4 linked regions of the Caenorhabditis elegans genome follow. The protein of the gene in region 2 interacts with the protein of the main gene of each other region in a pairwise test. Each region holds a gene or a part of one and is shown on either strand. Other genes may lie near its edges.

Region 1 (4,849 bases), on a different chromosome or scaffold from region 2:
CTGCTGTCGCCGGAGGTTTCGACACGGTAATTTCGATTGAATTGTTATGATAAAGAATATCAATTTTCAGGGAGACTACCTTCCGCGCAAGAAACGCGAGCTTTTGTTCATCGATAACCTCACTGCAGCTTTCAGAGAAATGAGAAGCCGTCGTGGATTTTAAATACATTTAATTTGTTTTTCGTTTCTTGAAATTGAATGATAAAAAGCGTTAACGTCTTGTAATTTTTGGATTAATTTATGAGACTCGGAATTCGACCGCCACTTCTGACCCAACTGCCCCAAACCTAAGAATTTTGTTCAGAAGTTGGTAAAGGGTGAACAAAGCTTGGCCATGACTTGTCTCAAGAAATTTTTTTGTAAAATATAGGCCAACTTCCGAACTAAATTTATACTATATTTTCTGGCCAAATTGAACTATAAGTGCTCTTTCAAAAATTTAGTCATGTAAAAAACACTCACCCTGAATTATCTCCCAATCCTTGAGTTTGTTGAACATATTGCTCAGCTGCAGACTTATCGGAATAAATTCCCAATGGAGAATTGTATTGCATATGTTTCACACGTTGATCTGTTTCAAAAGGAAGTGCTGAATTGTTGAAACCTTGTGGTGGACGGGTCTAAAAATAATTTATTATTCACTATTTATTAGAAATTTTAAAAAATGTTATGCTATTGTCGTTAAAAACGATTACAAATAACGATTTTGTGTGAAGCTTCCTATTTCAAAACAAAACTCAAATGACTCACATCACTGCTATGCTGCAAATTGACACGATATGGGGTTTGATCCTGTCCTGGTCCAGTATTTTCAGTTACTTCTGGACGCCAAATTCTGGTGGCTGCACCGGATGGTTGCCTGAAATTAAACTTATTTGATATGAATGAAATCAAAATTTATTTATTTTCTATTTAATCTCTTCGATTAAATTTCAAATTACCATGGTCTTGGCGTCGTTGTGATTCTCACCATCACTTTTGAATCTTAAATCATTTCAATTGAACATGAAATATATTTATAGGAAAATGGGTAAACGTAAAGAAAAAGGAAACTTGCAAGTTTTTTTGTTCAAAAATGATAAACACCTGGAAAAGGGAAATATGTGAGAGGAAGTATTCAACAATTTCATTCTCTCAGTTTTTGTGTGCGAGAGGGTGAATAAATTGTTGGAACACTCTGATACAACAACAGAGAATGAAATAAAAAGAACAGTGTCAGAAGTACATTGCTTTGTCATGAACTGACTCATCATTAAAACCCTATTTATTTAAAATTCAACTGTTCAAAGTAAAACATAACATTCAGGAGAAAATTATGCGAATTCGGGAAAAGTAAAAGCCAAAATAATAATAATTGTCAAACTGTTTTGTTTTGGTATTTCTTAAAACTATACAGCAGTTTTGGAAAGAATCTTGAATGCTGTGGCAGTTATTTTTGGCAATTCTATAACATTTTTCCATGCAACTTTTTTTGCAGTTGCTTATGTAAAAAGTGCTCAAAAATAAGTTTAAAGGGGCAAAAATATCTGAAGCTTGTTAAAACTATCAACACAGAATGATTTTTGAGGGAAAAAGGTAACGAGCTTCAAATTTAATGACATTAGAGTGCTTATAAGAGGAGCAAAACTTGTGTTGCAAAGCTGTTGCAAAGCTAAAGAAAACATTGATTGGGACATTTGACCGTTTCAAAACAGTTCAAAACAGTTGCAACGATTTGTCATCAAACGGAATATGTATGTATAAATCCTAAGTCCCTCCTTCTTCCTGCAACGAGATATTCGGAAGAATGTTGCCTTCTGCTTCCCCCGTACCGATTGGCCTGATTCTTATCTGTTCGCCTGTTTATATGGCGGGTGTTCGCTTCGAAAATTTTGGATATCTATATTCTATTGCATGAAGCACTTGCTGTTGGAGATAAACTAAGACGCAGACGGATTAAAAACGGAAAGGTAGGATACATTGGTGATGTGATTAAAACGGAGAACACTTTGACTGGTTAATAAACGGAAATACAAACTGGTAAGTAACCTACTTTGAATTGCGTTGTGATAACAAAGCTACAGATTACATAACTAGGGTTGTGTACATTTTCAAGGGATCGATTTAGGGGAAATATTCGAGAAAATTATGTCTTTCTTATTATTTTCACACACCTGCTCTGTTTATATATAATTTTTATTTATTGTGGTCGACACAAATTTTGAATAATTGGTGCTATACTGATAAATTTGAAGTGTTTAACGAGATGAGTTACCTGGTAACAATAAGTTCAATCTTCTCATGAGCTGTAACTAGAAGTCTATCAACAGCGTTTATGTCCAAATTGTCAAGATCTTCCAAACGATCAACAACATCTCCATTACGAAGACCGGCACGATCAGCTAAGCTACCACCTATTACCTGAAATTTTCAACTTTTATTCGATATTCAACTTGTTTGAATTGAAGGCTCCCTTTGCTTTAAAAAATCCCCCAACGCATGTCAATTTTTCAAATTCATTTTTTCTTACGTTAACGACTAATCTCTCACTACATTTTGTCTATGAGTTTTGAGAGAAATTTTGAAAGCATCTAACTTATTGTAATAAGTGATGTTTTTTGTGTTGCTCTTCCGATTTTCCCTGGGCATGTCCAGAGGATAAAACTGCGAGAGAAAGTGAGGAAGGCGATGAGATTGTAAATCAGTTGTGGTGATGCGGTGATTTTTGAGATCGCGGTAAGAACCTAGAGGTGCTAAAAGTGAATGTGATGGGTTTTCTTGGTTTTTGTATTAAATGTATACGAAAACATATGCCTCAAGACTAATTTTTACGACAAATTTTATTGTGATTCAATTTGGACAAACTGACAAACTACTTTATGACAAATAGGGGGACACTTATACTAAATTTATAATAAAGAGCTTACATTAACAATAAGAACAGCTCCATCTGGGGCTTCTGTCACACCGAACCCCCATGGAGTTCGGCGATCCGAACGAGCCATTCGAACGGTCACACGTTCCATCTTGATTTGACTACCTGAAATTTTATTGTGTCCTGGTCAATAAAATAGAGCGAAACAAATAAAAATAAATCAAAGTTTCAAACAGAATTTAGTAGAACATGTTTAAAAAAATATTGTCCAACCGAAAATATTCATTTTGTTTCAAATGTGTACCACTTCAAACGCAGTTATTTGCTAAAGCGCAAACGTTTCAGTCCAATAGTTACACGAAATCTTCAATAACCACGTGGCGTTTATAGATGAAAAATTTTGCAAACATTTTGACATTTTGAATTTTTACTTTTAATTAAAAATTGAAAACAAAAAAATCGTATTGTTTTCCGTATAGTGCAAAATAGAAAATAAGAGTAAAAGAAGGGAGAGTGAGATTATGCTGGATTTTGTATATTTATCGACTGTCGGGCAATTTGACGGGGGAAATGGTAGTGAATGACTACAACAGAAAAAAAAAGATTGTTGAAAAAGTAAGATGTTTTATTTAAAATTAATAAAGAAATTCAATTGAAATTATGAAACTGAGCATAACGAGTTTTCTGATTCGATGAGTCATTCGTGATTGACAGTTAATTTTTTTTATGGAACTCTTATCGTTTAACGGAACATATAGTTTTAAACTACGTTTAAAAAACGATACCACACCCAATAATTGAAATTTTAGTTTTTTCCAATTTTTTTTTCATAATCAGTGTGTTTCATAATGAACACCGTATATTACCCCAGTTTTGTAGTTTTATTTCTAACTGCCAGTAACATTTTTTAAACTTTTAAAGAGGTGATACTTTTTGTAGGCCAATCTACATAAACTTATGAAAGTTTTATAACATAAAGTTTTATAACAACAAAGCTAACGATTTTTAACATGAAGTCCTGTATCTCCGTTTGCAACTTGAACATTAGTATTAAAGTCCTACAAACCAACCAAAAAAGAACTATTTGAACAATCTGGTAATGCTACTTGCTTTGAAGTAAAAAATAATTATAAACACAAAATACCACGAATGACGTTCTGAACTAAACTTCCTAGAGATCTATCGTATGTGAGCTAAAATGTTGGCAAAAAACAATCTTACATGATCCTAAATACATTTATCGAATTGCAGAGTACAAGTTTTATTCAAAAAAAACCGTGCCAACCTTAGGCATTGGTAGATTGCCGTTCATAATCTAAAAAGTAGTTTTAAACATTGTTTTCTTATATGAGATGGGTGATTTCAGATTACATCTTCAATTTTAGGTTGAAATTGCATTGTATCAAGTCTAGAAGTATACAGAACTAATGTATAAATTAAGACGGTTGAGTTCCAAAAAAAAATTCCAAAAAATCAACTTGGTGTTGTGTTGCGGAGGTGGGGGTTCTGCTGTTCTGAGGTCTGTGCGGATAAAGCTTCAGGCCCAACGGTGTACGGCACGCGCGGGCGTGAGCACATCCTCTCGCTCGAACTCTGACATTCTCTCGCTCTTCCCGGCGCGGGAAGCCTTCTCGCACTTCATGGCCATCTCCTCTTGAGCTCCCGAGAGCCGGGGGAGCTCTCGGAATGATATAGGGATGATTTTGAGGAGGCGCAGGTATTGGACGTGTTTGTAGTAAAGCGAGTGCGCGTTGCTGATTATCAACGAAAAGGGGAGGGGGATGGGATGATAAGAAGACCGAGACGAAAATGAGAAGAAATTTGGAACAAAAGTGCGATTTGTTTGAAAGAGCTTGAGACATAAAAGTATGAACACTTGTTAGAGTAGTTTGTGGTATGAAGTATAGGGTTTTTTCAAATCACAAAACGTTTACATTACCAAGTTTATGCCAAAAATGAGCCATGAGCGGAATTATAAATATATTATACAGTCTC
Region 2 (5,901 bases):
CAAAATGGCAAATTGCCGAAATTGAAAAGTTTTGGCAAATCGGCAGATTGCCGGAATTAAAAATTTCGGGAAAACCGACAAATCGCAGGAACTGAAATTTCCGGCAATTGGCCGGAATCGAAAATTTCCAGCAAATCGGCAAATCGCCGGGAGTGAAAATTTCCGGCAAATCGGCATCTTTCCAAAATTAAAAACTTCCAGAAAATCGGCAAATTGTCGGAATTGAAAATTTCCGGCAAATCGACAAATGGCCGGAATTAAACATTTCCGGCAAACATAATTTGCTCTTTTTTGGAATTGCGGTATGTTGTTTTATCTTTTGGATACGGGTTTCAATCAATAAACACCATTAAATTTTTTTTCTGAAAAGACGTCAACAAAACCAACACGCACAAAACACTTTTCTAACCTGAAAAATTCCGTGTGACCGAACAAAAATTCATTGCAAAAACTTTTAATTTCAGACTTCCTCCTCACGAAATGCGCTAAACTCGAAATTCTTGAAATAGTTTTGATAACAAGTAACATATTTATAAGATCGATTGTGATGAGAAAAAAACAGTTTAAAAAAAACATGAAATTGAACTAAAAAGATAATAATCAAAGTTATCAAGAACGTTTAAAAAATTGGCTCAGGCTTTGGATCCATGAGCAACTCTTCCGGCTTCTTTTCCATGTGCGTTGGCGGAATATGTTTTGGCTCACTCGGTGCGGCGGCCACTTGTTTCGCAAGGTGAGGATTTCGGTTTCTCACAACTTTAATCATGCGTCTTGGTGAGGCAGATGTTGGCTGATTTAAGAGATCCGTTTTATTCTCTACCGATTTTCTTGTTCGGTAACTCATTGAACCAAATGCAGTCGTTAACATTCTTCCTAGACGGACCGCTGGTTTCTCTACGTTCGTTTTGGTTGGTGGTTTTTTTTCAACGGGGCTCGAAGATTCCACGTGGGTAGGTTTGTTTTGAAGAAGCGTAGGTACTAATTCTTCTTCTTCTTCTTCCTTTTGAGGCGCCCCAAATGATTGACGTATTCCCTCCATCTCGGATGAGCTTGATGAGTCTGTGGACGTAGAAGGCTGGTTTTGTGCACGTGGCGCTGTAGTCAATGCGTCTTTAAGAGTATTAGTGCGAAGAACGACATTCCCTTGAACTACAACTTTCGGAGGTCCGGTTCCGTTTTCAAAACGCAAGTATTTCTTTCCATTGACAACACAGAACTTTAGTGGCGCAGATGGCGGAGTGGGGGAGCTTGGCTTCTCACCAAATGCATTACGAGCATAAGAAACTTTGGATTTGTGCAAAAGCGCCTCGTCGGCAATTGAATGACCTTCCAAAACACGCGTTGCTAGGTGAACATAGTCAATTGGAGTTTTCGTTTTTTTTGCGTTCCATGAGATACTCGATGATCCAGCATCATCCTGTTCAGGCGAATGAAGCTTTCGCTTTCTGCGTTCTACAGTGTTCTGCATCTCACTTTGATTGGGAATATACGGTTCACTAGGTGCATCTTCACTGTGATCTCGATAAGCTTTTGCAGCTGCAGCAGCAAACTTGTTGTCAAGAATATCCTCGATTTTCCGTCTCCGAGATGTGAAACGATTATCTTTCCCATTGATGAGTTGAATGAGTTCTTGCTTATCAGCATCACTGAGGCTAAGATTATGATTCAGCAACTCATTTAGATTCGTCGATGGAGGCACCTTAAACGAATAATTTTTTAAATTTTTTTAAAATTTTCACAAGTGTCACAAGACTCACCGATTGCAAAAGCGCAACCAGCTCTGAGAACGGTTTGGGAGACGGTTTACTGAGAGACCCATTGACCATCCTTGGCACGTGGTTACGGTAATAAGATTTAATGGAATTCTTGAATGAGTAAAGCGGAGTGTTCGACGTAACCTTCCCTTTGTGCAGGTCGCCGACTCTCTTAAAACATTTCACCGTTGTAGAACAACGAGATATGACAATCAAACCTTCAGTGCTCTATAGATATCATGGCCACGCATCAATCTGTCCGGTGGCATCTCATTGATCTCGCTTTCCGTTTTAGCTTCAAAGGCGTCGCACATCATTTCGTACTGAAAAAGTGGTGTATGGTTTTTTTTAAACTAAAATCTCTAAACTAAAAGGGGGCAGGATAGCTCAGTCGGTAGTGGTGGCCGCTAGCAATCTGGAGGTCACAAGTTCAAGTCCAACCTCACCACCTAGGTTTTCATCCAGCCTCTATTGGTAAGTAGAGCAGTCCACGATAGGATTATCGGCCACAGTCCCCGGCTAGGACGTGGCTTAAATTATAACTCAGTGGGAGCACCACCTGAATCCCAGATCCGTAGTGCATAGGACTTGAAGAACGGATCGTCCTTTAATTCTTGTTTTCTAGTCTAATGTATTAATATCGATCACATATATAAAATAAAATAGAGGTTGTACTAAACAAAACACCAAAAATTTTGAACTTTTGCCATGAAAATTATAAATAAAATTAATAACTTTTAAATTAGAATTTATGTTCTAATCAGCTTTAGAAAAGTTTTCACAGCTTTTCAAACTTAACTATTTTGAAAAAAATACTGAACAACTTACTACAAAATCAACATGATCATAGCACATCCTTAGCCTCTCATGACGAATCGCTTTCTCTGCAGTTGCCATTCTAAAGTGGCCAGACATCACTGCCGCCATCAAAACTTTCACAGCTTCGTTATCAGTCATTGCAATGCTTTCTCGCATTAAAAGAGCCTTCTCGCAGAGTATGCACGGAGTCAGATAGGTACAATACGTGTAGTCACTCGGTTGAGATCCCTCTCGTGTGGCACGGGGTTTCGAGGGGCTGGGTTCACTTGGAAAGTGTGAAAAAATTTCCGCGCTACTTTTGAATTGTCCCTTGCTTGCAGCCGCCGTCAGAACATCCTTCACGCTTTGCGTTGGTGTTGAGTTTGGAATTGTATTCGCAAAATGCTTCATGATCGAAGCAGACTCAGCTGATTGTTCTTCAGTTGCTGAAGCTTTTTTCTCTTGGAGCTGAAACCATATACGCATTATTATGAATAATCTTCAAACATTTCTGCTTACCAATCGAACAGATTCCATTGACTGGGTAGGTGTTTGTATTGTCTTGACTTTTGGAATTGTCTTTTTTTCAGCTTGTACATTGGAGTTTGGCTGAAACATTGAAGATAGAACACTTCTTATTCAACCTTATCATGATTCAAAACGACCGAATATCATAATAAAACACTCCAAAAATTTTTAGATCTTTCATAATTTCCAGTCAAAGTTTTGGCATATTGCCAAAACTATGAAAAATATGAGCTTTTGAGGAAATCCACAGCAATGTCGCATGTTCCGACCCCAACAATGTTTTAATACAAGTAGGCAAAACAAAATTGCATTTTAAATGTAGGAGAACATTTTTTTGTCGACTTCCAAAATTATGATTGGCAAACACTGAATGATTGTCACTTTTTGACAGTAAATAAAAAATTTTCAAAAAATGTTTGAAAAGTTTTATTTTGATATTTGGTCCTTTTGGCACTAAAGGAGTAGTTTTTAACAATTTCCCCACTGGCGCTACTCCACCTTTAACTAGATATATCAGAAAATGGGAGAAAATCCTTAAAAAGCCATACCTCTCTTTTGACACCAACAACAACTGCGGCAATTGGGTTGAAATGCCGGACGAGCTCCTGGAAACATGTGAGCTGCAGAGCATCCGTTCCAATGCCGGCACTTTTAACAAACTTCATCGCTAGGGCATTGCATTTCTTGTTGAAAGCCATCCGATCGTTCGCCAAGCTTGACATTCGCATAGCATCAACGTTTTTCATTCGAAATTTTCTTTTCGCAATGATTTCTTCTTTTTCATCTGCCGAGACAACATCTTTAGCTGGAGCCGCTGGAGCCAACATTAGGAATCTGAATAAGTGATAGTGTATGATAAGCAAGATAGGAAAGTAAAGGAAAATTGTCATTTGGTGATGTGAAACCATTTGGAAAGAATTAGAAAAAAACCAGTTGGCATCAAATTTCGGTGAACATTTATAAAACTGATATAAAACTACAAAATATAAAAATGATGAGATCATCTCATCATTGTGAGGTTTCAGATGAATGATGATTAAAATAAATAGGTAAAATAAAAGTGGTAATTTTAAGGGCAATCAAAGTAACAGGGTAAAACTATGCGTATGACTTAATCATCAAAAACATCAATGGAGAAAAAATTATATATAAAAACAACAATCAGGAACGGTGGATGAAAATATTTCCACTTATTCGTTGCTGGGTGGTGTGGGGGTTGGCAGCTTATTAGCATCTTTGCGCGGTCGTCCGACTGGCTGAAAAAATATAAAAATAATTCAAAGCATATATTTTTCAAAAACTCACTCTTCCAGCAATCTTGGGCTTTTTAACAATTGGAGATTCTTCATACTCTTCCTCCTCCTCTTCCTCATCAGCAAAAGCAAAGCTTCGTCTAGCAACAGCTTGTCGAATCAATCTTCCACTTGGTGTTTTTTCAGGCACGTATTCGCAATCTTCGCCGACAATTTCTCCGTCTTCGAGTTGTACGTAACCTTTCTTAAGTGCACGTCGTTGAGATGTTCCCGGATTGTAGTCGTAGTCGGTGAGGCTTTTTTCAGCTTCTGGTGTTACACTATTCTTGGGATACTTCCTTGGGCGCCCTCTTGGGTTCGGAGTATGAGCAGGTGGTGTTACCAAGTTAAGAGGTCCATCCTCGTTTGACAACTCCCGCTTTCTATAGGTACGTTTTATCACTGGAGCATTGTTGTAAACTGCTGCTTGACTGGGCTCGTCGTCTGAAGTCTCTTCCGTTGGGGATCTTGACATTTCTTCATATTCCTCTTCTTCTTCTTCTTCCTGAGTATATTCAACACCGTCGGGGTTTAACATATTCGCCAAATCAATGGCTGAATTCTTATCAGTTCCAGACTTGCGCTCTTTGAGTTTGAGGAAGTTGTTCCCTTGAATGATATACGTGGTCTCAACTTTTTCTGGAGCAGCATCTGGAATCATTCCTTTCAAAAGTCTACCACGACTGCTGAACGCTGCATCTGGGAAATGGCTTCGGCAAATTAGGTTTTCCGTATTGGTGTGAAGTCGGGCTTCAAATTCTGGTCCAAGCTTATCCACCCATCTAGCCAAACGTTCCTCACTTCTCGGGACACGAAGCATTCCACCTCGGTCGCCACGTTTCGAACAGAAGCAGCAAACGCCCGGATTGTCGCATTCCTCATTTTCAGACGGTTTGACAGTTGGGAGCTTGAAATCTTCCTGCTCTATAACCTTGACAGTTCCGTCATGCTGATCAGCTTCCAGAACTTGCTTGCGTGGCTGGCGAAAGAGTTTCGGTATGATTTCTTGCTCATCCACATCGTTTCTCTCTGGCTCAGGTTCGGGCTCGCGGTAGTCAAAGTATTGTTGTCCAAGTTTCTTCAATTCCTAAAAACAATTAATTTGTTTCAAAATGTGCAATTTTAAAAACGGAAACTTACCGCTGGCGTTTCACGAAGATGATTATTTCTTTCGGCAAAATCGTGAAGAATCTTTCGAAGTTGTGAAGCAATAATGTGTGGACGGAGGGCGGAAACAGTGATCAATGCGTTCTGAATCAAGTCCAATGGGCAAATCAGAATATCATCGGCAGATTTCAGACGTAGCATCTGGTAGATCTCGTCGAGGGTCTCCAGGAAATGGAGACGGCAAATGTACGTTTTGCTCTCACGCGCCATGAAAAGCTGTGCCTGTCCTAGAGTAAATTCTCCGCGATAAATACAGCCCAACATAATCAACAGCTTTTCATTTTCAATCGTCACATTCTTCAGACGCTCGTGGATTTCCAAGTGACCACATACTGCACAGCGACGGTTGCAAGCTCTGCGCT
Region 3 (5,513 bases), 530 kb from region 2:
TACTTCTTACTAATTTTTTATTCACTGATTTTCGACATCTAAATTTATATGTTTTAATATATTCTAATAAACAACAGTTAGTTGATTCAGTTGTAAAGGTGGAATAGCGCCAGTGGGGAATGTGTCAAAAACCACTCCTATGGTCTCAAAATAACCAAATACCATGATAAAACATTTCAAAAAAATTGGAAAACTTTTTATTTACTGTCAAAAAGTGACAATTGCTCAGTTTCTGCCACTCATAATTTTGGAAGTCGACCAAAAAAAATTTTTTTTTCTACATATTTTATAATGCAATTTTATTTAAATTATTCGTATTAAAACATTGTAGGGGTCGAAACATGCGACATTGCTTTGGGTTTCCTTAAAAGACTCATATTTTCAAAATTTTGGCAATTCTCCTCGTGGTTTTGGCCTATTATAAGTGTATTTAGGCAAAATCTCCATTTGCGCTACTTCACCTTAAAGTTTATTACAGTTATAGCTTGTGCTTATTGCCTACCTAGGAACAGTAGAAAATTAAAATTTTCTTTGTTTCTTCTCAAATTTTTTTCACTTTACGGAGAAAGAAGTAGTTAAATCATTTAAGGGAGCTGATTTCAAATTCTATTTATATTCCTTTTTTAATTAACGAAAACTAGAGCACAAATATTAAATAAGACTATTGGCTTTTAATTGTTTTGATTATTCAAAAATAACAACAAAAAAAACCAAAATTCATGTTGCAGCTAGATCGGTGTAAAAAAACTGTAGTTCTTTGACTAATTACTTTTTGAAACTAGTTTCTTCATTTTGAAACTAAGAACAAACATTTAAGAAAGTTTCCTTTGAAGTTTGCCGAAGTTCAATCACTAAAAATCTTTTTTGCTGTCTCTTCACATTTATCTAATCATTTTAATTCGAGGCAAGTGGGTGAATTCTGACATATCTATCACTTAATCTATCAATTAGTCACCTCGAATCGAATATTTGAATAGAATATGTAACAGTTAAACTTCACAATCTCTCAAGACGAATAATCATTAATCAAAACCACACCCAATCGTGTTTTAACTGACTCCTGACTCATCTGGACGACACCCTTTTCTGGTAGTAGAACAATAATTCACTTACGGGAACATGTCCATCTTCGTCACTTTTGCAATCACCAATGGAGGCGGGGATTGCGAATGGATAAGTGGTCAGGAAAGAGAGAGAGAAAAAAAACGATAAATTGGAGAAAACCGCTCCCTTCCATCATCTTCACTGCGCCGCCCATCTCCAGCCCCTCCCGATCCGCCACCTTCTTCGTGTACAAGAAATGTTGATGGGTTGGGAAGGAAGAGGTGAGGCAGTTTTTATGTCGCCCTCCACCTCCCCTCCCAGTTTTCAATTTCTCGATTTACTTATGTAGGTGTGGTTAGTTATATTCTCAAGAGGGTGTGTCTCGGGTTTTGTCATTTTTCTCACATTGTCCCTGAATTGCTATATTTTTTTGTTTCTAAGTTTTCATAAAACAATTCAAATTAGACAATCTGATTGTTTCAACTTCTCTCTATTTTCTTGCTCCCCAATATATTATAACATAGATTTTTCTAACAATTTAAAATTTTCAGACATAATGACCGATCCAGATTCCTACCGCAGCTCCATCACCTCTCGCCCATCATTCAACCGCACTGTTACCAGCAGTAGTCAAAACTATGGAGCACCAGGATCAGGGAATCGTGTGCTGAAGATTGTCACCGAAACTCACTCTTCCTCAGTTTCAAGTGGACTCTCCCCATACGGACAGAATGCTGCGTCCACCATCCGAGACAACCGTGAGCGTGAAAAGAAAGAAATCATGGAGCTCAATGATCGTTTGGCTAGCTACATTGAGAAGGTCAGATTCCTTGATGCTCAGAACAGAAAGTTGGATGCCGATCTGAAGATGCTCCAAGGAAGATTTGGAAAAAGTACCGGATCTGTGAAAGTTATGTATGAGATGGAGATCACCACTGCCACCAATGTTGTCAAGCAGACAGGAAAGGATCACGGAGAGACTGAAAAGGAGATTCGTAAGCTTCAGGATCAACTCGACGAGTTGCGAAAGAAGTGAGTTTAATTGAGATGAGAAACCATAGTAAATATGAAAACCGTAATGATTCGTTTATATTGATAATCTGCTAAATCTGGATCCTATTCTGGAGAGTTTGAGCAATTCTAGCCATTGCTCCAGTATCACTCCGTTAAGAAGTTGAAACTTTGTATATCCTATACCATTAATACCGGTCCCGTTTATATCTAACAAAATTCACATTGAATATTATTTTCAGGTTTGAAGAGGCCCAAAGAGGGCGTGCTGAAGATCGTTTGAAGATTGATGATCTTTTGGTTACCCTTTCCAACCTCGAAGCCGAGATCAACCTTCTCAAGAGACGCATCGCCCTCCTTGAGGAAGAAGTTGCTCGCCTGAAAAAGGAAAACTTCCGGCTCACATCTGAACTCCAACGTGTTCGCATTGTGAGTGACTAAATCATGAAGTATTCGGAAAAAAAGATACAATTTTTAATTTCAGGAGCTCGACCAGGAAACCCTTCTTCGTATCGACAACCAAAACAAGGTGAAGACTATTCTGGAGGAGATTGACTTCATGAAGAGAGGATTTGAGACTGAGCTCAAGGAGCTTCAGGCTCAAGCTGCTCGTGACACCACTAGTGAAAACCGCGAGTACTTCAAGAATGAACTCGCTAATGCTATGCGTGACATTCGTGCCGAGTATGACCAGATCATGAATGGAAACCGTAATGACATGGAATCCTGGTACCAGTTGAGAGTTCAAGAGATCAATACTCAATCCAACCGCCAAAACGCGGAGAACAACTATCAGAAAGAGGAGGTGAAGAGACTCCGCAATCAAACTTCCGAGCTCCGCCAAAAGCTTTCTGATTTGGAATCAAGGAATCTTCTTCTTGAGAAACAAATCGAAGATCTCAACTACCAGCTCGAGGATGACCAAAGATCCTACGAAGCTGCCCTCAATGACAAGGATGCACAAATCCGCAAGCTCCGTGAAGAATGCCAAGCTCTCATGGTCGAGCTCCAGATGCTCCTTGACACTAAACAAACCCTTGATGGGGAGCTCAAGGTTTACAGACAAATGTTGGAAGGTAATTCTGAAGGAAATGGGCTTCGGCAACTTGTCGAGAAGGTCGTCCGCACATCTGCAATCAATGAAGAGGCTGACACCGAAACGATGCGCGTAGTCAAAGGAGAACACTCCAGCAGAACATCTTATCAACGTTCAGCTAAAGGAAATGTGGCGATCAAGGTGAGGGATTTATTTTCAAGTTTTTTGAAAATTGCTTTTTCGCTAAAATAAAGCTTTGACGTTCAAAAATTTAAAACTTCCAATGGCCATTGACTGTAGTCACTAATAATATCATTCCGACATAAAAATAATCAATTTATCACTTAGTACATACTCAATAATGATAATTTCTTTTCAGGAAACCTCCCCAGAAGGCAAATTTGTCATTTTGGAAAACACACACAGAGCCAAAGAAGAGCCACTCGGAGACTGGAAGCTTAAGAGAAAGATCGACGGAAAACGCGAGATCGTCTTCACCTTCCCATCCGACTACATCCTCCACCCATTCCAATCTGTCAAGGTTTGCGAATTTCTACTTCTTTCAGAAACAAGCCTAGCTACCCAGGACCTGTCGCGTATAAAACATTTCAAATTGGTGTCTCAGAATGAAATGTGTTGTTGTCTCTGTGTGTGTGTGTCGAATTGATAATCTAATGCGCGATTGCGTTTGGGTGTGGCAAGGTCATCCGTCCGTAATGACTAAAGGGGGGGTAACTTTGCTTCGAAAAAGAAAGATTGGGGATGTATGTAGGAGAAAAAGAAGGAATAAAAAGTGATAAACAAATTGATGGAAACTGTGAAGACAAACGTTGTTCACAGAAATCAATAAAAGGGACAGATGAGATGTGAGATTATTTAGGTCAGCTTTGAAAAAAAATGTTTTCAAATAAGGTTTGAATAAGAAATGAATTTGAAAGAAGCAATTATTTATTTAAAAGGTGGAGTAGCGCCAGTGGGGATTTTGTCTAAATGCACTTATAATGATCCAAAACAACCGAATATCATAATAAAACACTCCAAAATTTTTTTTAGATTTTTCATAATTTCCGGTCAAAGTTTTGGCAAATTCCCAAAAAATTTTAAAATACTAGCTTTTGAGGAAATTCAAAGAAATGTCGCATGTTTCGACCCCTACAATGTTTTAATACAAACAAAATTAAAACATAAAAAATGTCGAAAAAAAATTTTTTTTTTGATCGACTTCCAAAATTATGAGTGGCAAAAACTGAGTAATTGCCACTTTTTGACAGTAAATAAAAAATTTAAAAATTTTTTTTGAAAAGTTTTATCAAGATGTTTGGTCATTTTTGGACCAAAGGAGTGGTTTTTAACAATTTCCCGACTGGCGCTACTCCACCTTCAATCAATTTCATACAAAACATTTTTCATAAAAAAAAAAGAAATTCAAGTGAGGTGTTTTAACATTAAAAAAACCACTGTAAAGACAAATTTCTACATTTCCAGATCTTCGCCCGCGGACAAGGAATCGCCAATCCTCCAGAAGTGCTCATTTTCGAAGGTGACGAAACATTCGGTGTTGGCGCCAACGTTCAAACAATCCTTTACAACAATAAGGGAGAGGTAATTCAACCCCCAAAAATTTACGTGCAGAATAAAATGTTATTTTTTTCTTTGCAGGAGCGCGCGACACACATCCAACGTCAAAGCCAACAAACGACATCTTCCTAAATCTAGCTTTTTGCTTGAGCTATTTACTGTTTTCTTCTCTTTGTACCAGAAATCTGAACCCCAACTCTTTGCTGCCTGCCTGTTTGCATTTTTTCCGTTTGCTATATACTTTTTCACTTTTTTGTTTCTTTTTCCTCCGGTAACTTACTCATTTTCAACAATAAATACTTTATACAGATCAAAAAATTGCCATATGGAATGTTCATTTTTCATTTGAAACATTGATAGGAAAAGTAAGGTGGGGAAATATTAAAGGTGATAACGTGATCAAGAGCAAATAAGAAAGTCAGACGAATGGCTCGGTGAGCCGTGATAAGAAGACAAGGTCCAACCCAGCGATTCTAATCAGTTAACACGAGACAAGATACATCGAAAACCCACATTCGACCTGGTGGCGGTTATTCTAAATACGAGAGCATTACTGTGACAATGGGCAGCATGTATTATAATGGTGAGTCAAAGATTAAACCTGGCTGGTTCTGTGAAATGTTTGTATTTGTTTTAAGAAATTCAAAATCTGAAATGTCTTAAAAGTCTCAATTTTTTTAAATGGCTGATAAAATTTTGAAAACCTAGCTCTTCCAGATAAAACCTAGATTTCTGCCAACATGTCACAGTTGCGGCGGTCTGAAAACATTAGTTGATGGGTGCAAAAAATACTTCTTACTCCTGAAAACAACTTAATCAACGAAAAAAGTCATAACAATAAATA
Region 4 (7,481 bases), on a different chromosome or scaffold from region 2:
TTGGCATTTCAGAACTTTGACCCAATTAACGCTGTGTTTGATAATGAAATAATTCTGGACAAGATTTTGAACAATGTATCGAAAGATGTTTTTCCCTTGATACCGTTAAGGGTATGGATTTGTATTTCGAGTTCAACTTGTTGAAGAAAATATTCAATACACTCAACAAAATAGAATGCCAATCAATTGATTAAATGCTTCCGTTGTTAACCTTTTTCAATTACGTGCCTTTATATATTTTATTACTTTCAATTTATTCATAAATATAAACGTATTTTCTCGTTTTTGATTTGATTTTACGATGAAAGGTGGCTCAGTTTTTCCCATTGATAATTTTTTCTTAGTCAAACTTCTGTGCTGCTAAAACTATTTTCAGTCCTTCCCATTCAACATTAATTTTTCCAGCAAGAATTGTAGTGAAAAAACACAGTACTTCTCATTATCAAGCAATTTTTAGACCTAGCACTAGCCCAAATCAGTATAGTTTTTGTACCGATAAAAATTAAATCATATATGTAAACTGTTCATACTTTTTACAAGTCAGTGAAGAAACTCTTTATTACATACTCTAAATCTACGCCGTTATTTTTTAGATAGAAACTGAAGCACACTCGGATTATCATCAAATATTTTCATCGAATTATTTACAAAAGATCTGAAATTTCTCTGCGTGAAGCTGTGGCATCTGCTGCCAACGAAGAAACAAGCACATTGAGCTCAGCAACTTGACTATCCGATTCTGCGAGTCTTTCTTTCAAAACTCTCACTTGACGGGCTAGATCTTCCTGGAATAGTCGGAAATTGAATATGTTAGATATTTGAAATTATTTAAAGCGAAGCCATGCAAACATAAAATCAGCTTTTCACAGCAAAAACATGAAATAAAAATAATTTATTGAGAACTTAAAATAATCAGATATGTGTCGTGATTTTGTGAAATTGATTCATAATGAAATGATAAGCCAAATGGGTTTTTTTAGTTAAAAGCGAATTGAAGACGACAGACGATGGACTGGACTGCCGCTCACCTGAGCTTTTATATGCATTGCATCGGAGAGACGTCGAACTTCATGACGTTCATGTTCCAATTCTGATACTCTGTAATTATTCAGATTTAACACTCTTGAAACAATTAAATCTCACAACTATTATTAAACTTTGCAAAAATATTCATAAATTTTCAATAGTTTTCAGCTACTACAATTTTGGAAGTTTACCAAAAACTGTCTTTTCTACTATTTATATTTTTTTTAATGTTCAAACCTAGTAGAGCTTTGATAATCAAGAATGCCCTATAAAATGTCCTTATAAATTTCTCAAAAAGTCCAGGATTTTGAGACAATTTGCCAAAACTTTGACAAAAAGTTTTCAAAAACTGTGCTGGAATGGAAAAGTGGCCTATAAAATAACAGATTTTTAAAATGATATTGCAGTTGATTCTCCCATTTAACGGTATTCCTTGCTATTGAACAAAAACGGTTATGAATCCAAAAATTTTATTCATTTTAAAACTATTTACAAATACGAAAACTGATTAGGGTTGAGCATAACCGAGAAGGAAAACCGTTAAACGGAAGAAACCGGAATTTTTTGGGAAAAAGTGAGATAAAAGGAATATGGATCAAAACGTTCCAGGTACGTTGGAAGGAAACGAAAATTTGTGCATTTTCAGGGCATTCAATCAATTATTTTGGTTACTTATCAACTGAGACTGTTAAGATTTCTTTCAGATTATGGTTTAAAAATAATAAAAATATTCGAATTATCAATTACCAAGTCTACGAATCTACCAGTCCCAGATGACGTTTCTGAATTAAAAAATAGAAAAAATGCAAGAGTGATCTAGATAAGAGAATACTCGAGCAGAGGATCAGCTGACCTTCGAGCATTTTCTGCTGCTTCCCGGGTTGCTGATTCAAGAATTGATTGAAGATGGACAAGTTGTTCACGTAGAGATAACACTTCTGATTCTGCTGCGTATTTCTGAAATTAATTAATTTCTTTGGCATAAAATAACTATTAAACATTAGAAATGGATTTCTAACAGTCTCTTTTTCATCCCGCCCAATTTCGATTCAATTTTTTAAGTAGAAACTTACAACTTTATCCCAATCTTGTTGTTTCTCTTTCAGTTCTTTTGCCCAATTCTCATTCACACAAGCGAGTTCATCATCAACATGTGCAAATCTTCGTTCCAAATCTTCGTTTCTAAATTATAAATTTTCCAAAAATTTGTAATAACTCCATCAATCTAACCTATTCCTTAATTTAGCATTTTCCTCGAAAACCTCTGTATGAATACTTTGCATCTGTTTATGATTATCTTTTGTTTCTTCTGATTGAAGTTTCATATTTTCATTTGTTTTCCGAAGTTCCTTATTTTCCTGAATTGCGTGAATAAACGTTGGGATATTCTCATAATCCTCAATTCCAGCTGCATCTGCGAATGGTCTCAATTGATCCAGTTCCTGAAGTAGGTACATTTTATTGAAATCTGAATAACAATTGTTCTTACTTTTGACAAAATATCCTTTGATGAAGTAAGCATTGATATAGTATCAGACATTTCTTTTATTCTATTGTGACTTGTTTCAAGTTGAGCTTTTAGTCCGTGATTTCTGAAATACTAGTGAAATATGGAAACGTTTGCTATTCACCTCCACTTACTCCTCCTCTACATTCATCAATTTCATTTGCAGCTCGGTAACATTTTCCTCCAAATTTCCAGATTTTCGGTTCAACTCGCTGATCTGAAAATTATCAATAAATATTTGAAACTGGAAATCTTTGTCTTACAGTATGCCTCGACTCTTCCAATCGTTTTAATGCTTCACTGACCATTTCCAATTCCTGCTGTTTGCAATCAACCATCGCATTTGCTTCAGATAAATTTGTCTCGGTCTCCTTCAAGTTTTTTTCCAAAATTCGTAACGTTTCATTCATCTTTGTGATTTCCTGTCGATTGGCATCAATAATCTGATCTTTCGCAGTTGAAATACGGCATAAATCCAAAAATTGTTGTTCCAATGGGCTTAGTTCTCTTCCAGCGGTTTTCAACATTTGTGAGCGTTCCTAAAAAATTGATTTTGTGAAAACATCTTTTTGTGAATAAAAATGTCAAAATAAAGGATACCTACCTCAATTGCTTGAATCGGATCAGGGGTTACTGTAGATGATGAAGTTGATGAAGCTGTTTCACGAGAAGAAGTGTGTTGGCGCTTCTTTGTAAGATGGCTCATATCTCAAAGAGCAGTTTGTATGTTTGATTTCAGGAATAAATTGATTTCATATGGTAAAAATTATGAAAATTATGTGCTGAATGACCCTTCTCACCTATTTTCATTCCAGAAGCCAACATCATTTTCTGCACTGCTTGCACACTTTTTTCAAATTGTTTTGTGGCGTCGCTGTAAGAAGCAGTATGTCCCGAATTTCCAGCAGCTGTATGACATCTTTGACCTAAACAAAGTTGTTTGCGGTATGTCCTTGTGGTAAATCTTACTCAAAGTCACAAAGTATTCTCGATCATTCCATGCTCCGCCAGGAGCCATAAACTTTTTTCCATCAAATTTCACTGATTTCTTGCATGAGTCACCGATTTCTCGGTAGTACATCCCAGAACATCCTGTAATTTTTTTTCCTATTTATTTTCATTTTTTCTCATTCTCTCCAGTTCCTGCTGCTATCAATTTCTGTAAAACCCTTGAGAAAATATACGGATCAATAAGACACAGACTGTAACAGATAAGAAAAGCTTCTTCTTCTCTCTCTCTCTCTCTCTCTCTTTTTGGGCGCCAATTCTTTTGCAATTATTCGCATACTTTGCATACATGTTGATTCGATTTGATTACATTGAAATAAACCAAGAAAAAGGTTAGCAGAAATGAGAAGTGATAACAATTCTATGGGTGAGGTGACATGTTTGATGCCTACATCAGAGGGGTGTGTGGTAACAAAAATAACACGGACTGTTCCGCTATTATCTATTTGTCTTGTCAGCAGAAATTCACGTGAATCATCAAAAAATGATACAGTTTGTGTGTTGTCAAATGAAAACATTCACAAAAAGGAAAATTCAACAAGAATTTGGAAATTTCTGGCTACAGTACCTACAGTGTACTCGTGTTGATTGTTATTTTGAAAAAAGTCACAAAAATTATGAAAAACTGAAGAACTGTCTTCTTTCTTCTATTAGCTTCTCGGTTGTCTATGATTTGATTAAAAATGTTTTACAACTGCCAAATCCAAATGTTCTTGCTATTTTTTCTAGAAGTTTTTTGTTTGACACAAGCCTGAATGCATCAAATTAAAATGCATTATCTTCTTGTGTTCCGTTACAGTAACCCACCTGGAAATGCAGTTTGAAGTGAAGTCCACAAGATACCAGCATCTTCATCTAACTCTACTTCAACAGGTTCCACCCCGATTCGAAGAGATTTAACTGCAAACATATCTATTTTACTTTTAAATATCTCCCATCTTCCTTCCGTTTTATTACTTGTTTGATTAGATATGAAACCAAATTATATAAGTAGTTACGGGTATTGAAGAAGATGAAATTGTGTGGGGCAAAAAAATGTAGGCAAACACAAATTTTTTCAAGTTTTTGATTCGAAACACGATTCGTAGGTCATTGGGTAAATAGGCAAAATATCAACTGAAGATATAGAGACTCAGACATTGACATGACCGAATAAGCTCATTGTGCCGGAGAAAAAATGAGGAGAAGGACAAAAGAATTGAAAATGTTTAAAGAGCTTCTTGTTTCTATGTGTTTCTATGTGTGTTTTTTGAGTTTGAAAAATTAAAAAAATGAAATTGAAAGCGAGGAGAGTATTTATATAAAATAAACCACACAAAAAAAATTAAAAATTGAATTCCTATTATGCACATTAGAATTTTCGCCATATCTTACGTGCATGGGTCTCGCCACGCGGACATCGAGTTACTGTAGCTCATATTAATTTATGGACCGAGATTGTATCAACCTTTTCAAATTAAACGAGGTACTGGTGGCGGAATTGTATTAAACAAAAATATGATGTAATATCTACCTGTAAGTTCTAACGAGTTACAGTAACCCGTTGTCAGCGTGGCGAGACCCATGTTCATTAACCATTATCAAATAGTTTCAATAGGAAAGTTCAAAAACAAAAAAACTATTTTCAAAATTGAATACTTGTGCAACTACATAGATGTAATTATTGAAAATCAAACAGCTGTTGTGATCAAGGGTGTCAATGTCCCGTAAAAATTTCGAAAACGGGACAACGGGAATTCCCGTTCCCGTGAAAACACCCCAAAAACGGGACAACGGGAAAAACGGGAAACGGGAATTGACACCCTTGGTTGTGATTAATGCGCACGGATATATTCAGATGGGTCTTGGTGTGCGAAAAAGTTTATGGTAGTCTGCTTTTGGATTTTAGCGACTGCGTTTATTTTCAATAAAAACTACTGGTTATTCAGAATCAGATTTAAAATTATAATGAAAATTAATTTAAAAAAAACTACCATTAACTTTTTTGCGCGCGAAGACCCATCTGAATAAATCCGTGTGCCTTTGTGAAGGCATGTCAGAGTCTATTTAAATTACGATGTAACTTTCTACGTTTTTATCTTCAAATTAAATGTTCGTAGAGCCTATCAATCATAAAGTTTAAGAACTATACTTTAATTCTGAATCTAAAATAACTTTCATTGATAGTTTTATATTTTTATTCTGAATATGCGAGAATAATCTTACTAAAAATCTATTCTCATAGCGATTTCTTCGAATCTTACCTTGTAGTCCTGTAATACTGCTCATTAGTCGGTCGAAGTTTCGAACGGACAGTCTCTCCCGGGTAAATTGGAAGAATGAGAGGTGGGCGCCGAGGCAAAGGGAGGTCGAGACGAAAGAGATGGAGAAGCAGATAGTGTGACGTAGAGATGAAGTGCGGAGAGAAAACAGACAGTGACACGCAAAGCAGCTGATGGGTAGGGAAATGCGGACAATTGCAAAAAAAACAGATGTTAATGTGCAAAAATTTTTATTTTCGTTAAAAATAAAAAGTGGGAAAAAATGAAATATAAAAAGAACATTGAAATTTGAATGTATCGAAGTAGAATATAAAGGTGGATATAAAATTGTTACAAGTCTCTCACATTGAAGAGATCAGAGAATTTAAATTAGATGTTAAAATTTATGGGGAGACGAGTTGATGGCTCAATATGGACGGTATCGGTCACCTCCTGGTGGTCCTCCTCGTCGCTCGCCACCACCACCTCCGGATCCTCCATCTGGTCTCGGGGCTTGGCATTGATTGCATTCCTAGAAGAAAACCCGTGTTTTTTTTTTGAAAAAACAAAATTAACTAACTCTTCTGAAAGCGAAGTTGCTATTTCCGCACTGCTCACATGGCCAGTCATTCTTCCTTTGTTCCATATTAGCATTTCCGCCACCTACTCCACGGCCTCCTCTGAATCCTCCACGATCGCCACCACGGTCGCCGCCTCGGAATCCTCCACGATCTCCTCCGCGGAAGCCTCCTCTATCACCACCTCGGAATCCTCCTCGGTCTCCGCCACGGAATCCACCGCCACCACCGCGACCACCATCGAATCCTCCACGACCACCGCCGCCGCCATATCCTCCACGATCACCGCCAAAGCCACCACGTCCTCCCATAGGACCACCACGACCACCTCCGAAACCGCCTCGTCCACCACGACCACCTCGTTCACCTCCTGCATCAGCGCGGAACTTGGCTAGTGAAATACTCATCGGGCTTGAGCCGCCAGGGAATGGTTGCCCATTGTACATAGTTATAGCTTGTTGAGCTGCAGAAGCATCGACGAATGTTATCATGCATTCTCCTTTTGGTTCTCCGGTGTTGCGATCGGTGTAAATCTTGATTCTCGGTCCGCGATCGTTCTTTGCAATATCTCCGCAGGTACTGAAGACGTCGGCGATGTAGGCTTCATTTGCACTGAAATATAGATACATTTTTTAATTGGGCGATTACAAAACATACGTGGTGGAAATTCCCTGCACAAAGACGGTCTCCTTCAACTCAACTCGCCCATCGGATCCGAATTCGCGGTTTCCTGAAGCAGCACCACCGCCTCCGTATCCTCCTCCACTTGGTGGTCCGTCACGTCGGGGTCCTCTGTCTGCAATGAAAATATGAAAACTTTTACAAACAATTTTTTCGTCCAACTGTCAATAATATAAAGCACAGGAACAAGTATTTTTATATTCGTTTAATGTTTTTTGTTTTTGAATTTCGATGATAAACTCGGTAGGATACCCATTTTTTTTTAATTTTGGTAATAAACTCGTTGTGGTACGAAAGATAAAGCAATTTACGTATTCAATACCTTGATAACCTCCTCTTCCTCCTGGAGGTCCGCCCTGTCTGCAAAACATCATTCTTGAATGGAGTCTTCTGTCTTCTTCTCTCATGCTAACACCACAGTAAAATGTTTTCAGATTTCGA

Evidence for each region.
Region 1: the proteins of lin-15A (region 2) and alp-1 interact in a two-hybrid assay, tested with the Caenorhabditis elegans proteins (2 studies listed by BioGRID).
Region 3: the proteins of lin-15A (region 2) and mua-6 interact in a two-hybrid assay, tested with the Caenorhabditis elegans proteins (2 studies listed by BioGRID).
Region 4: the proteins of lin-15A (region 2) and C27H5.2 interact in a two-hybrid assay, tested with the Caenorhabditis elegans proteins (2 studies listed by BioGRID).

What each region holds. Positions count from the first base shown.
Region 1 is NC_003282.8:8,850,670-8,855,518, reverse strand, and holds the start of alp-1 (PDZ and LIM domain protein Zasp), read right to left. Parts: upstream 3,020-4,849; 5' UTR 3,006-3,019; coding exon 2,907-3,005; intron 2,401-2,906; coding exon 2,255-2,400; intron 990-2,254; exon of another isoform or gene 974-989; coding exon of another isoform or gene 942-973; intron 860-941; coding exon 751-859; intron 621-750; coding exon 463-620; intron 224-462; exon of another isoform or gene 164-223; coding exon of another isoform or gene 71-163; intron 27-70; coding exon of another isoform or gene 1-26. Other genes in the region: T11B7.5 (uncharacterized protein), read left to right, coding at 1-26, 71-163.
Region 2 is NC_003284.9:15,729,981-15,735,881, reverse strand, and holds lin-15A (Protein lin-15A), read right to left. Parts: upstream 3,915-5,901; 5' UTR 3,908-3,914; coding exon 3,629-3,907; intron 3,162-3,628; coding exon 3,072-3,161; intron 3,021-3,071; coding exon 2,583-3,020; intron 2,078-2,582; coding exon 1,973-2,077; intron 1,926-1,972; coding exon 1,758-1,925; intron 1,700-1,757; coding exon 620-1,699; 3' UTR 517-619; downstream 1-516. Other genes in the region: Protein lin-15B, read right to left, coding at 4,271-4,336, 4,386-5,459, 5,513-5,901. UniProt on the Caenorhabditis elegans protein: Synthetic multivulva (synMuv) class A protein. SynMuv proteins are required to repress the induction of vulval development.
Region 3 is NC_003284.9:16,261,769-16,267,281, reverse strand, and holds mua-6 (Intermediate filament protein ifa-2), read left to right. Parts: upstream 1-1,595; 5' UTR 1,596-1,600; coding exon 1,601-2,076; intron 2,077-2,297; coding exon 2,298-2,484; intron 2,485-2,539; coding exon 2,540-3,292; intron 3,293-3,470; coding exon 3,471-3,632; intron 3,633-4,576; coding exon 4,577-4,693; intron 4,694-4,750; coding exon 4,751-4,801; 3' UTR 4,802-4,993; downstream 4,994-5,513. Other genes in the region: Serine/threonine-protein kinase sgk-1, read left to right, coding at 5,231-5,252. UniProt on the Caenorhabditis elegans protein: Cytoplasmic intermediate filaments provide mechanical strength to cells. Essential protein, involved in attachment structures in epidermal cells that connect muscles to the external cuticle.
Region 4 is NC_003280.10:7,154,011-7,161,491, reverse strand, and holds C27H5.2 (TAR DNA-binding protein 43 N-terminal domain-containing protein), read right to left. Parts: upstream 5,912-7,481; 5' UTR 5,810-5,911; coding exon 5,785-5,809; intron 4,442-5,784; coding exon 4,349-4,441; intron 3,626-4,348; coding exon 3,503-3,625; intron 3,460-3,502; coding exon 3,334-3,459; intron 3,242-3,333; coding exon 3,138-3,241; intron 3,073-3,137; coding exon 2,797-3,072; intron 2,751-2,796; coding exon 2,668-2,750; intron 2,619-2,667; coding exon 2,516-2,618; intron 2,469-2,515; coding exon 2,257-2,468; intron 2,209-2,256; coding exon 2,100-2,208; intron 1,984-2,099; coding exon 1,880-1,983; coding exon of another isoform or gene 1,843-1,879; exon of another isoform or gene 1,809-1,842; coding exon of another isoform or gene 1,787-1,808; exon of another isoform or gene 1,483-1,786; intron 1,099-1,482; coding exon 1,029-1,098; coding exon of another isoform or gene 981-1,028; exon of another isoform or gene 878-980; intron 786-877; coding exon 645-785; 3' UTR 531-644; downstream 1-530. Other genes in the region: C27H5.12 (Ferrochelatase), read left to right, coding at 13-144; fust-1 (RNA-binding protein FUS), read right to left, coding at 6,209-6,313, 6,362-6,971, 7,017-7,155, 7,363-7,400.